2 linked regions of the Alligator mississippiensis genome follow. The protein of the gene in region 1 interacts with the protein of each later gene in a pairwise test. Links are inferred from orthologs where the notes say so. Each region holds a gene or a part of one and is shown in the gene's direction. Other genes may lie near its edges. The genes, in order: NFKB1 and TNIP2.

The links.
Region 2: the proteins of NFKB1 (region 1) and TNIP2 interact in binary tests that used the Homo sapiens proteins (3 or more experiments, as listed by UniProt). The link is inferred for Alligator mississippiensis from reciprocal best matches to the Homo sapiens genes NFKB1 and TNIP2.

What each region holds. Positions count from the first base shown.
Region 1 is NC_081825.1:163,075,744-163,083,909, forward strand, and holds the start of NFKB1 (nuclear factor NF-kappa-B p105 subunit), read left to right. Parts: upstream 1-4,418; 5' UTR 4,419-4,582; intron 4,583-4,835; exon of another isoform or gene 4,836-4,853; intron 4,854-8,166.
Region 2 is NC_081825.1:20,605,725-20,614,142, reverse strand, and holds the start of TNIP2 (TNFAIP3-interacting protein 2), read left to right. Parts: upstream 1-4,887; 5' UTR 4,888-4,986; coding exon 4,987-5,385; intron 5,386-7,977; coding exon 7,978-8,283; intron 8,284-8,418. UniProt on the Homo sapiens protein: Inhibits NF-kappa-B activation by blocking the interaction of RIPK1 with its downstream effector NEMO/IKBKG.

The sequences.
Region 1 (8,166 bases):
GGGCTTGCAGCCTCCCAGTCACCTGCTGGGAGCAGGCTGGGCTCCATGGCTGGCAGCAGCTGCTTAGAGCCCAGGCTGGCGGTGGTGTGCCGAGCAAAATGGCCTTGCATGCCATGCTCGGCATGCATGCCGGGGGTTGCTGATCCCTGGTATAGGGCTTTAGCATTAGTATAGTATAGGGTTGTGCTAGCCCTGAATACATGTTTGTCCATTTTGTCTAGTGGTTACCTGCACATTTTGAAAAGAACCAGAGATAGAAATGGTAATTGTGGGACTCCACAAATTGAGGGGTCAAGTATCGGAGATGAAGGTTCCCATCACAGCTCATCAGATGCTTCCCACCCAAAAATATTTAAAGTATTATAGTGCTTTACTTATGACTTTGGGTACCTCTTTCAACCATTTCTTTTGTTTCAATAGATACATTAAGAACACCAAAAACTATTTTTAACAACTTATCTGTCTTTCTTATAGCTCTATATTGATAGAGGAACTGATTCACCCTTGCTTAACATTTCGTACTCAAGTACTGACCCATCATTCTTAAAGGTAGGAATTCAATTTCTTTATTGTAAACATCACAACTTTATCTCCACTTGATGTAAGATTCTTGTTAGAACTACCTAGAAATAGAAAAATGAGAGCATAGTTAATTAAAATATAAAAACTAGTAGTGGAATTGGTCTGGTATTATGCAAATAATAACTAGCCAAACACAATAAATATGCTTAAAATGTGTTGAATATAATGTATATACCCTAGAAACTCTTTGGTCCCCATCCCCCCAACCAAGAAAAGTCTACAGACCTTATTATTCACCCTAATACAATTTGCTCTGGGCCACAGTGATTATGCAAACAAACAGGAAACCTGTTCTAACTCAATGTCTAGTGGTTCTTCTAATATTTCTCTTCAGGTGGTATAAAGTGAGCTAGGCTACCTCCATTTTAAGAGAGTTGGCCCAGCAGGTATGTCAGGGGTGCGGCGAGATCAGGGCCAGGCAATTATTTCGGCAGGAGAGCCGTTTAGTGAGTTTTGGTAAACTGTCAAGGGCCACAAGGATAGCCCCACCCCTTGACAGGTGCCTCGCCCACTGGTCACTATCTTGGAACTGAAAGTCCCATCCCCTAACCCTCTGACCTTTGCCACCCAAAGTCCCTCACCTTCCCCCTGGAAGTACATCTTTTGGGAAGGGGGTTAGCCATCTTGGAACCAGAAAAAAACCCCAAATTATATTTTAAAAATCAAACATCTGCAATAACATATTTTTATTTTATTTTTTAAAAATATTTTTGTCCCGATTTTGTGTGTGTATGCGCTGTGTACATAGAGGTGATTGCATAATAGCTCAAAATGAAGTCTTACTCTTGTATATTGTGGTGGGGGGTGGGGAGGGGTGTGGGGGAGTTGTGTAACATCGACATCAACACTTGGGAGACCCTTGCTCAGGACCAACCAAAATGGAGGAAGGCTCTTTGGGAGGGACCACAACACTTTGAAACAGCTCGTCGACAGGCAGAAGAGGAAAAGAGGAACAGGCTAAAAGGACATCAGAACATCCAACGCAGCAACACAGTGCCCATCCCTCCTGGAAACACCCGTCCTCACTGCAACAAGATATGTGGATTTAGAATTGGGCTATGGAGCCGCCTGCGGATTCACTATTAAGAGGCTTAGAAGACAATCTTTAGCATTTGTGAGTGATCAGCCATCATCATCAGAATATATATTTACTTATATAGAGAGGCATAAATATTTTTGGAAAAAAAACCCATGCAGAAGATCCCTTGCAAGATTGGGACCTTGCGGTCTGATATTGCTTCCTCTGAAGTTAAAGACAAACCATCCATTGACTTCAACAGTAGAGGACTGGGCTGTAAGACAATGAAAGTTATCTTTTTTTTTTAAAGTAAAGTGAACCAAATCCTCCATGGAGCAGGCACAGGATATAAGTTAGAGGCTAAGTGTTAGGGGCTGAAGCTATTAATAATTTTCTTTTAAAACTCAATCTGCTCGGTTTGTTTTAACTCTTATTTCTATGCCATCATGTCTGATGTTCCAGTACTTGTTCATTCAAGTTCTGCCTGTGAGTAGCTGTGACATGGCAGCTTTTCTTTCAACTGAATCTCTCTGAAACATTTCTCATCTTTTAAATCTATATTAAACTCCTTCATTCAGAGCCCTGGGGCCAAAATCTTTATACTGTTTTTACTCCAGTGAATTCAGTGTACTAACTTTGTACTTCCACAAGGGAGTTCAGATTCCTGTCATGGGACTGAAAAACTCCTCAGAATTGATTATTTCTCTTAGAAATGCTAAAACAATGAAAGAGTTTGTGAAAAATTCCATTTTCAGAATTGCATGATGAGTCAAGAGAACAGTTTGAAAAGAGAAATTCAGGGTCTTTATCTGTAAATGATTTCAGTTCCCTTATCAAAAACACAGAGAAAAAAAATTGTGGGTCATGCGGGATTTTTGGAAACAGCCTTGAAAGTAATGCTAAATGAGTATTAGAGATGGGAATGAGCCACAAAATTTGGCTGAGGGAACGCTATCCAAACCCACATCTGGATTTTAAATTTGGTCAACCATAGATAGCCACAAGATTTCAATCCAAACCTCTGCTGAGAAGAAATTATGACACCTTTCCTCCTCTGTACCTTCCTACTGCTGTACCTCTGCAAAAATGTGATTCATCATTGATTGAATGTAGCATTTTGGCTGATTTCTGCTCCGGTTCTGGAAGAGATCCATGTTTCAGTGTTAAAGAGGCAAGATCCACAGTTTTGTACACTGGCTATTAATTCATTGTTTAAAATCTTTTTCCATCCCACTGCTGTACCCAGTCCCCTGCCATGCAGGGAGGGGCACTTGCTCAAAAGAAAGAAAAGTTTATTTCCCTCAAAAACTTCCCACTGTTGCTTGTACTTGCTCAGCTGCACCAGAAGTAAAAGAACCACCCCAGATTTTCAGGAACAGTCCCAAACATCATGGTGGTGCCAAAGCAGAATAGAAACAGTACGATTGGGTCATACTGTGCCCCTGGCTAATTAGCTTTGTCAACGCTGCATGAATGCAGCTATAGTAATTAGCGATGCCATGAAGTGGAGTTAAGTAGCTTGGATACAGAAGAGTGCCATGTAAGTACAGCTCTGCTGCTTCCGGTTCAAGAGGTTTCCCTGGGCAGAGTCCATAACACTCCAATATTGCAGCACATGATTTAAAATAGACTTTTTTTCTCTTTGTGGCAGGAGAGGATTTTCCTGTAAGTGTGGACCAGAAGAGGGGGTAAACCACTTCCAGTTCCAGAGGCCTGCAGAGCATCCTAGATTTTGCTTCATAAAAGTTCATATCAGCATCAAGACCCTCAGTATATTATCAATGATTATTTTTACTTTAAAAGGGCCAGGCAGCTGGGGAGAGAGGGGGGGTCTGTTGTGCTAAGTGCTGTACAAATGTATAGTAAATGCTAGTCTGTGCCACACAGACTATTGCAACCCCAGTTGCCCTCCAGCTCCAATGCCTCTTTTAGCATTTTTTGAGTAGATGATGCTTTAACTGGCACCATACTAAAACGGGTGCAATGTTAGCAACAGTGGGGGCAGTGCCTGCATGTTTTTAAATGCCTAGTACTTGTGCCCTCACACAGCTCCCTTTGAGCTGCAAAACGTGTTTGCTGGGGTGAGCAGTTCCTGCTCCTGTGGAAGCCAGATTGTGTTCTGGGGGGATGTAACCAGCTTCTTCCTCTCTAGGGTTTTCCCTGGGGAGGGCGGGGGGGGGGGGGTAGAGTTTCTCTCATCTGGCACTAGGGTGGCCGTCATAGAGGACAGTCCGGTTGTGCTCTATTGATACAAAGCCCTTTTTGTCCTGTATTTTCCTCCCAAAGAGGACAAATAGAGGACAAAATGGAGCGATCATTCACCAACTGTGCCCTTCACAAACTATGGTTTTATTTGTCGTACCAATTCTGGGCCTCCTTAATTAGGACAAATAGAGGACGTAAAGGTGTATCAATAGAGGACAGAGTAGCAGAAAACCTGAGTGTCCCCTATCCGGCGCAGACTGTTTCCTCTCTGGGCGGTAAGCGACTGGCCCGGGTTTGACTCCCTTCAGAAGAGGCCGGGACACCCTCCCACACCCGGGGAAGTGGAGGTAGCCCGGCTTGAACCCGGGCGGCACAAGGAGCTTGCGGGACCCTGCGGGATCCGGGACGAGCGGCTTTGCCGGGTCGCAGCAGCACCCCCTGAGGCGGTGGCGGCGGCAGGCGTCCTGCCCCCTCTCTCCCCCGGCCGCCGCCTCCGCCGCAGCCGCTCGCTTGGTCTCGAGACGTCAGCGGGAATTTCCAGCCAGGAAGTGAGAGGGGCGAGCAGCTGGGGCCGCGGAGCAGGAAGCGGCGCTGCGCGCACACACTCGGGCACACGGGCACGGCGGCGGGCGGCGCTCACAGGGCGGCGGCCGCGGGTCCCGGCCGGCCGGCGGCGGCGAGCGGCTCATGGCGCGGCGCTGAGCCCGCGACAGACGGGACGGGACGAGCGGAGCGGAGCGGAGCGGAGCGGGGGCCTCTTCCCCGCGCCCAGGCAGGGTGAGTACGCAGCTGTGCCCCGCCAGCGGGGAGCCGGGGTCACTCCGGATCGCGGGCGCGGGGCTGTGAGGAGCGGGGGGGGGGGGGTCACGTTGGCCGGGAGGGTGCCCTGAGGGCGAGGGGGGCGGGCAGCGCGCCCGGCCCGGCCCGGCCCGGCCCGCTTCCTCCCTTGGCGCAGCCCGGCCTGGGGCCGCCCCCGGCCCTGGGGAGGGAGGGGCTGTGCCCGAGCCGAGGGTCTGGGGTTGTCATCGCCGCCGCCTCTTGCTGCTGTGTATGTCTTTCTTTTTGATATTTTTATTTTGTTTTTTGCTTGTAATTGTGTAACTTCAGAAATCCCTGTGTTTAGTTGCTGTGTCATGACGCAATTTGTGGCTGCTGATCCTGGCGGCCAAGATGCACGCAGGGGTTTTCCCCCCTGCCTTCATGGGGATGCTTGTGGGGCTCTTCTGAGCCAGGTGGGAAGAGATGGGCAGGCATACAAAGCCCTGCCAAGGGTAGGGGGCAAATCAAGGGGAGAAGGAAACGCTGGATGTATTACTGGCCTCTGCCTCCTTCCACATGCCCCCCTCAGGGGGTCCTTTCTTTGGGTGGCATCTTCTACTGGACCCACTGTGTCAGTGGGATCAAGAGACACCAGCTTTTGAATATAAGGCACTCTGTTTCAGGTAATGGTCATACTGGCAGGTGGGTCAGGAAAACCAGTTCAAGTGCAGTAGTGGCACCCCTGAAGCCTGCTGCTGGCAAAGCCCAAGTGTCGCACGTGAAATGGAGCAAGCTGTGGTCTTCGCAAACTATGGTTACCTTCGTCACGCCAGTTGTGGGCCTCCTTGATTCACAGAAAACCACTACAGTGCCAGCTGTGTAGATATTCTGCATAAGGGAGGAGAAAAGGGGTGGATGCAAAGTCCTGCCAGGTACAGGAAACAAAACAGCTGAAGTGGATGCATACCACTTTTCCACCCTTTTTCTCCTCCTTTGCTCAGGATATCTATAGTTCTGGCACTGTTGCAATTTTTTTCCCTGTGGATTAAGGAGACCCAGAATTGGTACAACAAAGAAAAGCATAGTGTGTGAAGGCCACAGTTTGTGAACAATTGCTCCATTTTTGTGTGACGTTCTGGCTTTTCCTGCAACAGCCTTCAGGGGCTCTGCTGTTGTATCTGATTTGGTTTTCCTGACTAACCTGCCAGTTGAAAGTATAACTGTGACTTAAAGTGGGATACTTTGTGTTTTGAAAGCTTGTCTAACTGTATCCCAGTGATGCAGTGTGTCCAGTAGAAGATGCCTCCCAAAGAAATCTGGGCCTCTAGTGTAACTGTAAACATTGGTGGTGAAGTAGCATGGGAAAACCCTAATAGTGAGCGAGAACCATGAAAGGTCTCTGTTGCAAATACAGGGAAGATTACAAGCAGTTTTACAGCTGGTAGCTGGCAAGGGTTTAAGGGCATCCACAGTACTAGATAGAAATGAAATACTCTTTCCATGATGGAGACTAATATCTGACACTTTGTTGCTATTATAGCTGACCCTAACACATGGAAGGTTCAGTTCCACATTAGTTTTTCTGCTCTGTCATTAAATGTTTTCTTCATTTGAACATAAAGACACACACACAATTTTATGTTCAAATGAAGAAAAAAAACTTAATACTGCTTCCTCCAGGACAATGGCAAAGCAAGAAGAAAAAAAAAAAATGCAGAACTGAACCTTCCAAATATATAAAATAGATATTATTTCTTTAGCCTGGACTCCATTTTGTATACAAATACAGGCAATGGGCCTGATCCTACAAAAGCTTTTACATGTACAACTTTATTCACATGTTTAATTGTATACCCGTGTAAGTGTTTGCAGGATTGGAGCTTTACAAATAAAACCTGTCTGTTAATTCAAAAGCATATTTCTGTTTTCCAGTTTAAAAAAAAGTTAAATATTGAAGACACAAATCTTTACAAAAAAGTAAAGTTTGAGAAGAAAATAGAGATGTTATTTAACATGGCATAGAGCACAATAAGCTTCGATTAATTTGTCACTGGTTTAATTTGCCCTTTGGTTCCCTTCTCCCCCTGTTATCCAGTTCTAAAAGTTGGTCATTACCAGATAACTTGTCATTATTTCTATTCACATTGCAGTGACAAGTTAATTAGAGTTTACTGTAAATAGGAGTATTTAACTGTATGGTTTAAAAAAAAAAAAAATCCCTTTTATTGTTTTCTCTATCATTTTCTTTCCAAGACAGAAATCCGAACAGATCTTAGAGAGCATGATTCTTCATTCTGGCACATCAGATTTACACTGAAATAATGGAGTTAAAAATATGGCCTTAACATTTTTTAGCTGTTTGTTTATTGTTTTTTTTTGAAGTTCTTAAACTTTTTTTTGCTGTGTATTACAGATTCGTTTAGCTTTGTAAACATACTAGTCAGAGTTACTTTCTCTGGGTAAAAACCCATACTTTTGTAATTTGAAGAGAAGATAAAACTGTTCAGATTTGGTTCCCTGTAATCTATGTTAATGAATGATCAGTAAGTTAGTTGCTAAAATGCTGGAACAAAGCACTTTATAAAACCTGGATGCAGCCTCTCAACTACTATAAAATGTTATAGTTCAGTGACAGTGATCTCAAAGATAGTGAAATTATGACAATATTGACCAGCTAGGGATCTTCACATAATATTTTTACATGTGAATTTCCTTTACCCCTCTATTACCTTTGGTTTATTGTTTGCAAGACTGAGTAATTTAGTTATAAAAGGTTTTCAGTTTAACAAGAGAAAAGCCTTCCTTTCCTGTCCACACTCCCATTGAAAGAAAATGATCAACAGTAAAGTCAGCACAAAGTAAATTAATTTCACTAAGAAGTAATGAATAAACACTAAGCTGTTTAAGATAATGAAACCAAGAATGTGTTTTTCATTTTGGTTGGAGTTGCTTATCTGAAAAGTACGGTCTTCAGAGAAGTAATCTGCAACTGATAGAGACTGTTAACTACAAAAAAAAAAAAAAAAGTCAACAGAAGACGAGTTGAGCCATTTTAGAGTGGAAAAAGTGCTTGTGATGGAAAACAGAAAATGAGGAAGGAACTGAAAAAGCCATGGAGAGCACTATTTTAGATCCACCTTTCTAAATGTTCCTACTTTTTCAGTGCTGATTAGCAATTGTATCTTTACAAAGAACTTCAGATCTCAAAGCCAATGTTAAATGAATACTGGAGGTTTTGTGAAAAGTAAAGTTCAGCTTTCTGTTACATTGTTTTAATTACTTCCTATATGTCACTGCCTTATACAAGCTCCATGGGAAAGCCCAGAATGTGTCCTTCAGTGTACCTAGTAACACTATCTCCAGAGCACAGAACTGGAAGCTTTTGAGTTTTGAATGTTAAGAGGGTTATCAAGCATGTTCAATAATGATTGAGATTCATAAGTTCAGTTATGAACTCAGGGCCAAGTTCTTTCTTTTAGATGATACATATCTAATCTTACCATCATGATGGAGGTTGAAAAGAAAGCTGAAAAAAATATACCAATATACTTTTATTAATTTGTATTTCAGTGTTTGTTGTAAGGGATGCTGCTGTTCTGAAA
Region 2 (8,418 bases), about 140 Mb from region 1:
GCCCTTAGTCCCCAGTGATGGAAAAGGGGGCTTGGGAACTCCTCTGGGGGAGGCCTGGCCAGGGGTGACCCCCTGGCCCTGTTGGCTCCATACCGGAGTCCCACCTGCCCCTGCAGCGGAGGTTGCAGGCTTTTCCACCCCCAGAAGAGGTTTGTTGGACTCTGCCTTTGGGGTGGAAACCTTGGGGGCTGCGGGAAGCTCTGTGGGGGCATCTAACTCCCCCCTGAAGGTTCCTGCCCTGCCATTGTTTCACATGAGAGCAGGAAAGACAATAAAGAAAAACAAAATATCCCATGGGGCTGGTGAATCTAGTAGGTGCAGGCTGGGGTTGTGGGACAGAAGGGGTTTAGAGAGGAAGGGAGGAAAGGGGTTGAAGCTCACTGAGCCACAGCCCCACAGGAAAAAAATGGGAGGCCTATGCTTTGAGAATGGAGGCGGAGGGGGGGAGGGGGGAGGGGAACAAAAACAAAAACAACCACACACACAAGGGCTGGGGAAACTTGAGCTAGCTTACTCAGCCACACAACAAACACCAGGTCAGAGGGAGTGGACCACAGGACTTACCACACAAGGGCAAAAAAGCATACAGGGAAGGCTGCTAAGGCAGGTGTAAAAGATGGCTGGAGCAGTGAAGGGGCTTTGTTTGTAGAAGATCTGTCCAGAAACCCCTCAGGCCTCCAGCCAGTCACTTAAAAGCAGAGCAGTCAGCAAGAAGACAAATCAGGATCAGATGCAGTGAGGTAGCTGTGTGGGAGGGTAGGAGCAGCCAGTCAATTAGGAAGTGATCCAGTGCAGGTATGGTGTCAGGTGGTGCAGCAGGGAATCTCCCTCTCTCCTGAGAGGGGGCAGCAGCAGAAACAACAGCAAGAGCACAGGTGCTGGCCCCAGGCTGCAGATCTGGGAGGAGCCAGGCAGGCCCAAAGTGGCACAATTTGTCCCACACCAAAGTTCATGTCTGACAACCTGCGCTGAGACAAAAAACCCTGGCTCAAATTTGCACCACTTCTATTTGAGCTGCTGCAAATGCACGTGCTTGCATGTGTATATGTACCCTATGAGATAGGAGCTTAAATCTCTGTTAGAACATAAACTAAAAAGTATCCAGACAGACAGGGAAGCCCATCTGCAAAATTTCTTTCTGGTACAATGGAACAGATTATGAGCAACCTGAGTGCTACAGATGATAAGTTTTGGATGCCTGGAAGTATGTACTGACTTTAGTGACATAAGTACATTTTTACTGCTTTTTAATCCCATTGGCCCAGCAGAGACAACAATTAAGGAATCACAAGCTGTTGCTTATTCTTTTACCTCATAGCCTCCACAGGATTGCTTTTTAAATTCTATCAATTATACCTCTGTAAATCAATTCTGGAAAATAGGGTTGCACAGGTATCACTGAGGGCATAATTTGGTAATTTTATTACAGGGGATGGTATGCAGGAAAGAAAAAAAACATTGAGCCTGGCTTTCTGAATTCAGGTTGCATGTGCATGACTTGCAGTCAGAAAAACATGATTTCTTGCAAACAGAGCACAGCTGATGCATAATCACAGAGACAGATGGAACCCTGAGCTGCTATTTTTACAGGCTATTCAAAGAATCACAATTAAAAAATCTTGGCATGTGTTTTGATATCACTTACGATAGTGTAATGTAAGTATAACTACCGACTTCAGTACAATTATTCTCAATTTACATTAGTAAATTGGAATCAGTTCACTATCAGCAGTGCACTTTAAAAAATATTCCTGTACTGTATTACAAATTTATTAAAAACCATTAAAAACAAATTTAATAAATGCTAAACTAATTTATGTTAAACTATGTTACACAGAACTGTGCTACTTTCTTTCCCCATTTCCCAGTTAAAGTAGACTTACTCTCGTTTTTGTTTCTAGTGAGCTTCTAGTTAGTCATTTTCTGTTTATTGTGAACTGTGACACTACTATTCATGGGCTATGACAAGGTTTCGGTGGCAACATTCCTGGGGAATGTTTATTTATTTAAAAATAACTTTTGATTGGAATTTTTTGAAATGTCATGGTAACATTTTATCCATCATTATCTGAAGAGTAAATATTGGTTTCTACAAAACCTATATTTGAGGATGTTTGCGGATAAATTTTAGTCAGCTTTTCTCATCAGGAGGGGGACCACAGTCCATGTCCATGTCAGATTTTCAGGTGAAGCTGGTAACATGTAATAAAATAAAATAAAATAAAATAAGGGTGTCTCATCATATAGAGGGGTTGCAGTGAGTGCCTTGAGTTCACACACTTACTGCTACTGAGAAGCATGCAACGGACTATATCAGCATCTCATTGCATAAAACTGAAAAGCACAAACATGCAATGCAGTAGACCATGAAAAACCTCAGAAAAAGTATCTGGTAACTGATATGCCCAAGGCAATCCAGGAAAAGCCAGGTACAGTAACAGAAATGAATGTTAAGTGCTGACTCATTCTCTAGCTTCAGCTTCTTATTACTGAATTCCTAGGCTGTTAAGTCTGAATCCTAGTTTTAACAAATGGTGATAGTCATCCCAGGACCATTCCAAGAACTTACGGAATCAAACTCTTACTCAGGACAAATTCCCCTTGAACTTAATAGTATTTTCCTTGGGTGAAAGCTGGCAGGTCTCACCAACACTATTGTAACCTAATAATCAAATACAATATTTAATATGTTTATATTTTATTTCAAATAAAAAACTATTTCAAATTCCAATCAAATCAAACTTCCTGTTTGATTCTTAATCGGTTTCAATATTTAACATATTAAAATAATCTGCTGTTTAAATAAAGTGTAGAATATTTGTATATTATTTGGGTTAGCGGGATTCAAGGCCTACTCTAAAATAATAATACGGTAAATTCTAGGCTTGTGTTTTCTTTCACGCTGCCTCTCAATTTGTAAAAACTACAAAGTACCTTATCGTTCCTACAATGTTACCTTAAAATAACTTCGGTTGAAAAAAAAAAAAACTGTTTTCCTTCCAAAGATAAGGACTTAAATGTTACAGAAGACCGAAAATAAATGCTTCTCTAATAAGGGTCAAGAATTGTAATTTCCATAACCTTTCATTCTAATAATATTTCAGTGACCATGATTAGCACTATAAAGATATTCATGATGGTACTAAATAATTTATTGGGATAAACATTAAATGCATTGTAAATCTGCATCTTGAGCAAATGTCTTATACTTACTCGTTCCAGGGGTCTTCTTTCCCGTAAGTGTTGTTAATACATATGTACCTGTTTGTACCAGTACAGTATTTTGAATGTGTTTAGCAACACTATTCTGATGAAGCTTGAGATTCTTGCTGGCAATCTTTGAGACAAAAGAATGACGTAATTCCTCCACTTTGTCTCATTGCTAACCCAAATCCTAAAGTTTCTTTCTGAAGCACCAAATGCTGGCATCTTTACTCCAGTTTGCACTGGTGCAACCTCCCTTGTTTGGAGCCATTGCTTCACTGCCAGGGGTTAAGCTTCATAGTGCTTTTCAAAGGACTAGATAGGCTGCTGTTTCATCCAGAATACACTGCCTGCTGTCCATTTGCTCACACAAACGTCTCCTAGGTGTTTTCAACATTTTTAGCCTCAAAGCTCGAGAACTAGTGGTTGAGAGGTTGCGAACTAGTGGCTCTTAACCTTTTTAGCCTCGGGGCACCCCTCAGGAGATTTGAGGTGCCCCTCGATAGATTTGAGGCCCCCCTTGGAAAATGCCAGCTCTCAGCTTTCGCTCGTTCTTTGAGTGCAGACAACTACTAGAGCAATTCTTCCTTTGCAAAGACCTCAGGAGAGATCCCAGGTCAACATGCTTTTGATGCTGCAGATTCCTCGTCCGTCACATGAATTGTGCCATTACACCGAGCACCACTAGTGCTGCGTGGCAACCTGCGGCACCCTTGAAAGGATCTCAGGGCCTCCCGTAGGCATTTCCTTTGCAGCAGCCAAACTAGGTGTGCACTGGGTGAGTGGATCTCAACCTTTCTAGACTGGAGGCAACCCTGGGAAGGCTGGGGGCACCTTGGGAAGTGCCAGCTCTTAGCATTCACTATTCTTTTTGTTTACAGAAAGGTAATAGAGGAGTTTCTCAAAGACTGGAGGAAGACCGCAGCAACCAGTTCCTATTTGAAGACTCTGGGGTTATCCCTTCTGCGCGCCTCACAGCGTGGCCTTGAGGGCCCCAGGTCCCACGCAGGCTATCAGCTTATGTCCTGGGAGGCGTTTGTGTTGTAGACGGGCCCATATGGAAGATGCAATGACCCTAGAACATAGCTCAGTGTTAAAAAACTTTATTTCTTCAACTTATTAAAAACTCCTTCCTTCTTCTACTTATGCCTCTAAGGGGCTCCAAAAGACTCAGGGCCCCAAAAAACCTAAGGCCACCTTGGGAGGCGTTCAGGGCAGCCTGGGGCACTGAGCACCAGGGGCTACGAGTGGCCTCCCCTGCCTGTGTCCCGCGGGGTCCGTGCGGGGGGGCCCGCCCATCCTGCCACCAACGGTCGTCGCGCGACACCCCACAAGGCGGGCGACAGTTGACACGCCGCCGTTGAGGTGGGGGAGAGGTGACCACGCGCGCTGCGCCTGCGCACACGCGGCTCCCCAACCGTCGCGAGCACTTCTGAGACGTCACAGTTGAACAGGAGCGGGAGACGGAGAAGGGGGGGGGGGTCCTCGCGCACTACGCCTGCGCACACCCCCTTCCATCCTTCGTGAGCTGCTCCTACAGGCGGGCGACGGTTGAGGCGTCACAGTTGGGGGGGGGGCAGGGAGTCCTCGCGCACTGCGCCTGCGCACGCCCTCCGGAAGGGGCGGGGGAGTCCCGCGAGGAAATTCCCGCGAAGACGGCGGGTCCCGCGAGGGTTTCGCAAGGCCGGGCCGCTCCCCGCTCGCGTCGAGTCGCGGCCGGGCTCCGCCCCGGGGCGGGCGGGTTGATAAGCGGCGCGGGGTGGCGGCGGCGGCCGAGGCCCCATGCGGCTGGCGGGGACCCCGCTGGCACCGGCAGACTTGGAGCAGCAGCAGCGGGCGCGGGGCCGGGCAATGGGCGAGGGCGGCGGCGCCGAGGCGCTGCAGGAGGCGCTGGAGAAGCTGCAGCGAGAGAACCGCAGCCTGCGGGCCAAGGTGCCGCGCTACCACGCGCTCTGCGGCCTCTATCACGAGGCCGGGCAGCAGCTCAAGCACCTGCAAGTGCAGGTGGCGGCCAAGGACGCGCTGGTCCGGGAGCTGCGGGCCGGGCTGGCGGGGGAGGCGGCGGCGGCGGCGCCGGCGCGGTCGCTGGTGGACAGCCTGGTGGAGCAGCTGTCTCAAGTGAAGCAGCAGCTGCGGGAGCGCGACCGGGCCGCGGCGCAGGAGGCGGAGGCACGGAGCCAGGTAAGGCTGGGGCTGGCTGCACACACCTGCCAGGGAGTGGATGCGCCTCCTCCCAGGTGTCCCTCAGGGGCACCCCTGCACTTCAGCCTTGTAGGAAAGGGGCAGTTTCCAGGCAGCATCGCGGGTAGGGCAGCGCTGGCCACAGTCGAGCCAGCTTGAGAGCAGCACAGTCTGCTGTACCTGGGACTTTGGCACAGGTGGAGGGAAAGGCGTACGTGTAAGGATGGAGAGAGATGAGACATTGCAGTGGGAACAATGTGCAGGTCCTTGGGGCCAGTGCTTTTCTACTGAAGTATTTCAGCAGGATATCTGAGTTCTTCCTTGTCTTTTAGGTGGCTTTCCTATTAATTTTTCTTTCCCTGACACCCTTGTACACCAGGATTGTATCTTAGCTGTAGTGGGTTGCTTTAAGTTGAAACAGCGGGTGTTTGCATTTTCCTTCTTCCTGAGTGAAATGGCTTTGTTTCCAGCTGCCTGGACAAACGAGGACTTTTTAGACCCTTGCCGATCAGCTCTGGTTACGGATATGCTCAAATATTCTCAAGGGAACATTTTTAAAAGTCCCTTTTCCTGTCTGAAGCTGCACAAAGGAATTTCCAAATCAGAAAATGCTGCAAAACGAAACAATCTCTTGACCTAATGCTTGAACAAGAACATTTCCCAAGCACCACAGACTTTCAAATGCACCACGGATGAGTTCAGGTTTTGAAACTTGCAAATGATCCCTCTGGCACTCTTGCCTGACTATTATTTGAGTTGAAGTCATGCCTCAAACTGCCTATTAAGTGTAAACTTAGCACAAAAAAATCCCCCATCTCTAGAGAACCTTTTGACCTTAAAATGGACTTTTTGGATTTATGAATTCCATTTGCAGTATCCCCTTTTCTTTCAAGTGATCACAGGCCCTGTTTCCTTGCAGATTCTATATTGTAATGATTGCATTCTTTTAAAGCGAATGTACACGGTGGTACTAGAATACTGTTCCCAAGCCAAGATACTGCTTCTACAAAGATTCATAATGATGAAGCTTAGAAACAAGAATATCTACTTTTGTGTCTTCGTTGCACTCTTCCACAATGTTAAGATTTGAGTTCCTGAAGAACCATCTGGAATTGGTATACCTCTGTTTCCTTTTCCCGCCCCAAGGGTACATACACTTGCTGATTCTGGAGGAGCTGTGCTCCACAGGCTTCCTTCACAGCTGCTGTCCTTCAGCCTCTGAGTGTACAGGAAGAAGGGATGTTTAGGTGACTGATTTAGTCACCATTGATGTATGCCAAGCCTCCTTGACACTTGAATACAGGATGATGCCAGAAGAGTGGCTGATGATCCTCATGCTGCTGACAGATCCCTGCCTCTTCAGAGCTAGTGCAGAGGGACCCCATATGTCAAAGGAGATGAAAACTTACAGTTCACTGAATCCCTTGTTGGCATGAGAAGCTTCACACAGTGTCTGCTCAACTATGGCTCATCTAGGAAAGGCCATGCTTGCATGATGTTGGGGGTTTGATTCTGTCCACTTGTCTTTACTGCCAATTCTCCTTCAAGTTTGTAGTGTTCTGTTTCATTTTACTTCTAAGAAATGTGGCAGTGTTGCTGCCTGTAAATAAGTGGATTTGTACCCCAGGGTTAGGCACAGTGCTTCCTCAGTACTATGAGGAGAGGTTTAAAATCCCTAGTTTGATGCATTCCCTTAGACTACCTTGTAATCTGGGTAATGGGAATAGACAGTTTCTCTCTTAATTGGTCTTGTTACCTTACCTTACCTGTTGTCATTCCTCTTTACTCTGTATTTCATGCCCTTCCAAGTTTCCTTAATAATCTGTATTTGTTGCTTACATAATACTTGAGTGTTGCTGGATGTGGTACGTTTTCCATTGGGGAGGTGGTGTGTGATGGTTCTCCCAGTGATCCTCAGCAATCCAGACTCTTGTTATTTTATATTCTTCCCAGAGCCAGAAGTGGATCTTTTATTGTATTTTAAATGTGGGCAGATTACCATAGGCTGGTGCTATTGCCTTAAAACAGATTATTTCAGTGTTTGTGACCCAAGTTATTCATATAAAGATAGTGAACACCATTAATACTAATTCTGATGTCTCTTACCAAAAACCTAAATATGTTTAGAAAATGGTCATTACTAGTCAGTTCAAAATACTAAGAATCAGTTGTCCTGACTTACTGACAAACTACAGTGTGTTTTAAGAAAATGGAATACAAATGCAAAACCTAATGTGTGTCCATAAGTAAGAGGTTGGAAACAGTTTGCAGTTAAGTTTTAGGGGTACATCCATTTCTGCATACCAGTCACTTTCTGGTCTAGAGTATGTCTAACCATATGCATACTAAAATGAAGGAGGAAACTGGAAAAAGCAGTGGTTCATTGACCAAGTCCAGCTCCATGTTCAAAAACTTTATGGAAAAGGTTTTTTTATATAAATGGTATTTAACCATTTATATTACTATGGCTGACATTCCTGAATAGACAATTTTAAAATTTAAATAGTTGTGGATTGGGGTTTTGGGGTTGTTTTGTTTGTTTGTTTTTTTTAGGTCTCTGACAAATACACTAACTTCTTTCTGCTTAATTAGGAAGTGCAGCAGCTGAAACAGCAACTGGAAGAAAAAGAAAGAGAGATGCAGCAGATTGTAAGCCAGCCTCCGCATGAAAGGGAGAGAGAAATCTTAAGACTCAAGAGAAGCTTGGCAGAAAGAGAAAAAGTCCAGGCCACTAGTGAAGTACTGTGCCGTTCTCTAACTGATGAAACTCACCAACTTCAGCGTAAATTGGCGTCAACAGCAGAAATGTGTCAACACCTGGCAAAATGTCTAGAGGACACACAGAAAAAAGAGAGAAGGCATTCCAAGGAACTGATTCCTATTGAAAGATCCAGTCAGGTACACTTAATCTATAGAACTTGAACTGTTGGCTTTCAGAACTGAAGGGTAAAAACTGTTCTTACTCATTTTTCTGTCTTAACAGTCAATGTCTTTATCCTTTTATCTTTAATAGCTAGGCCACAGTTAGCATCT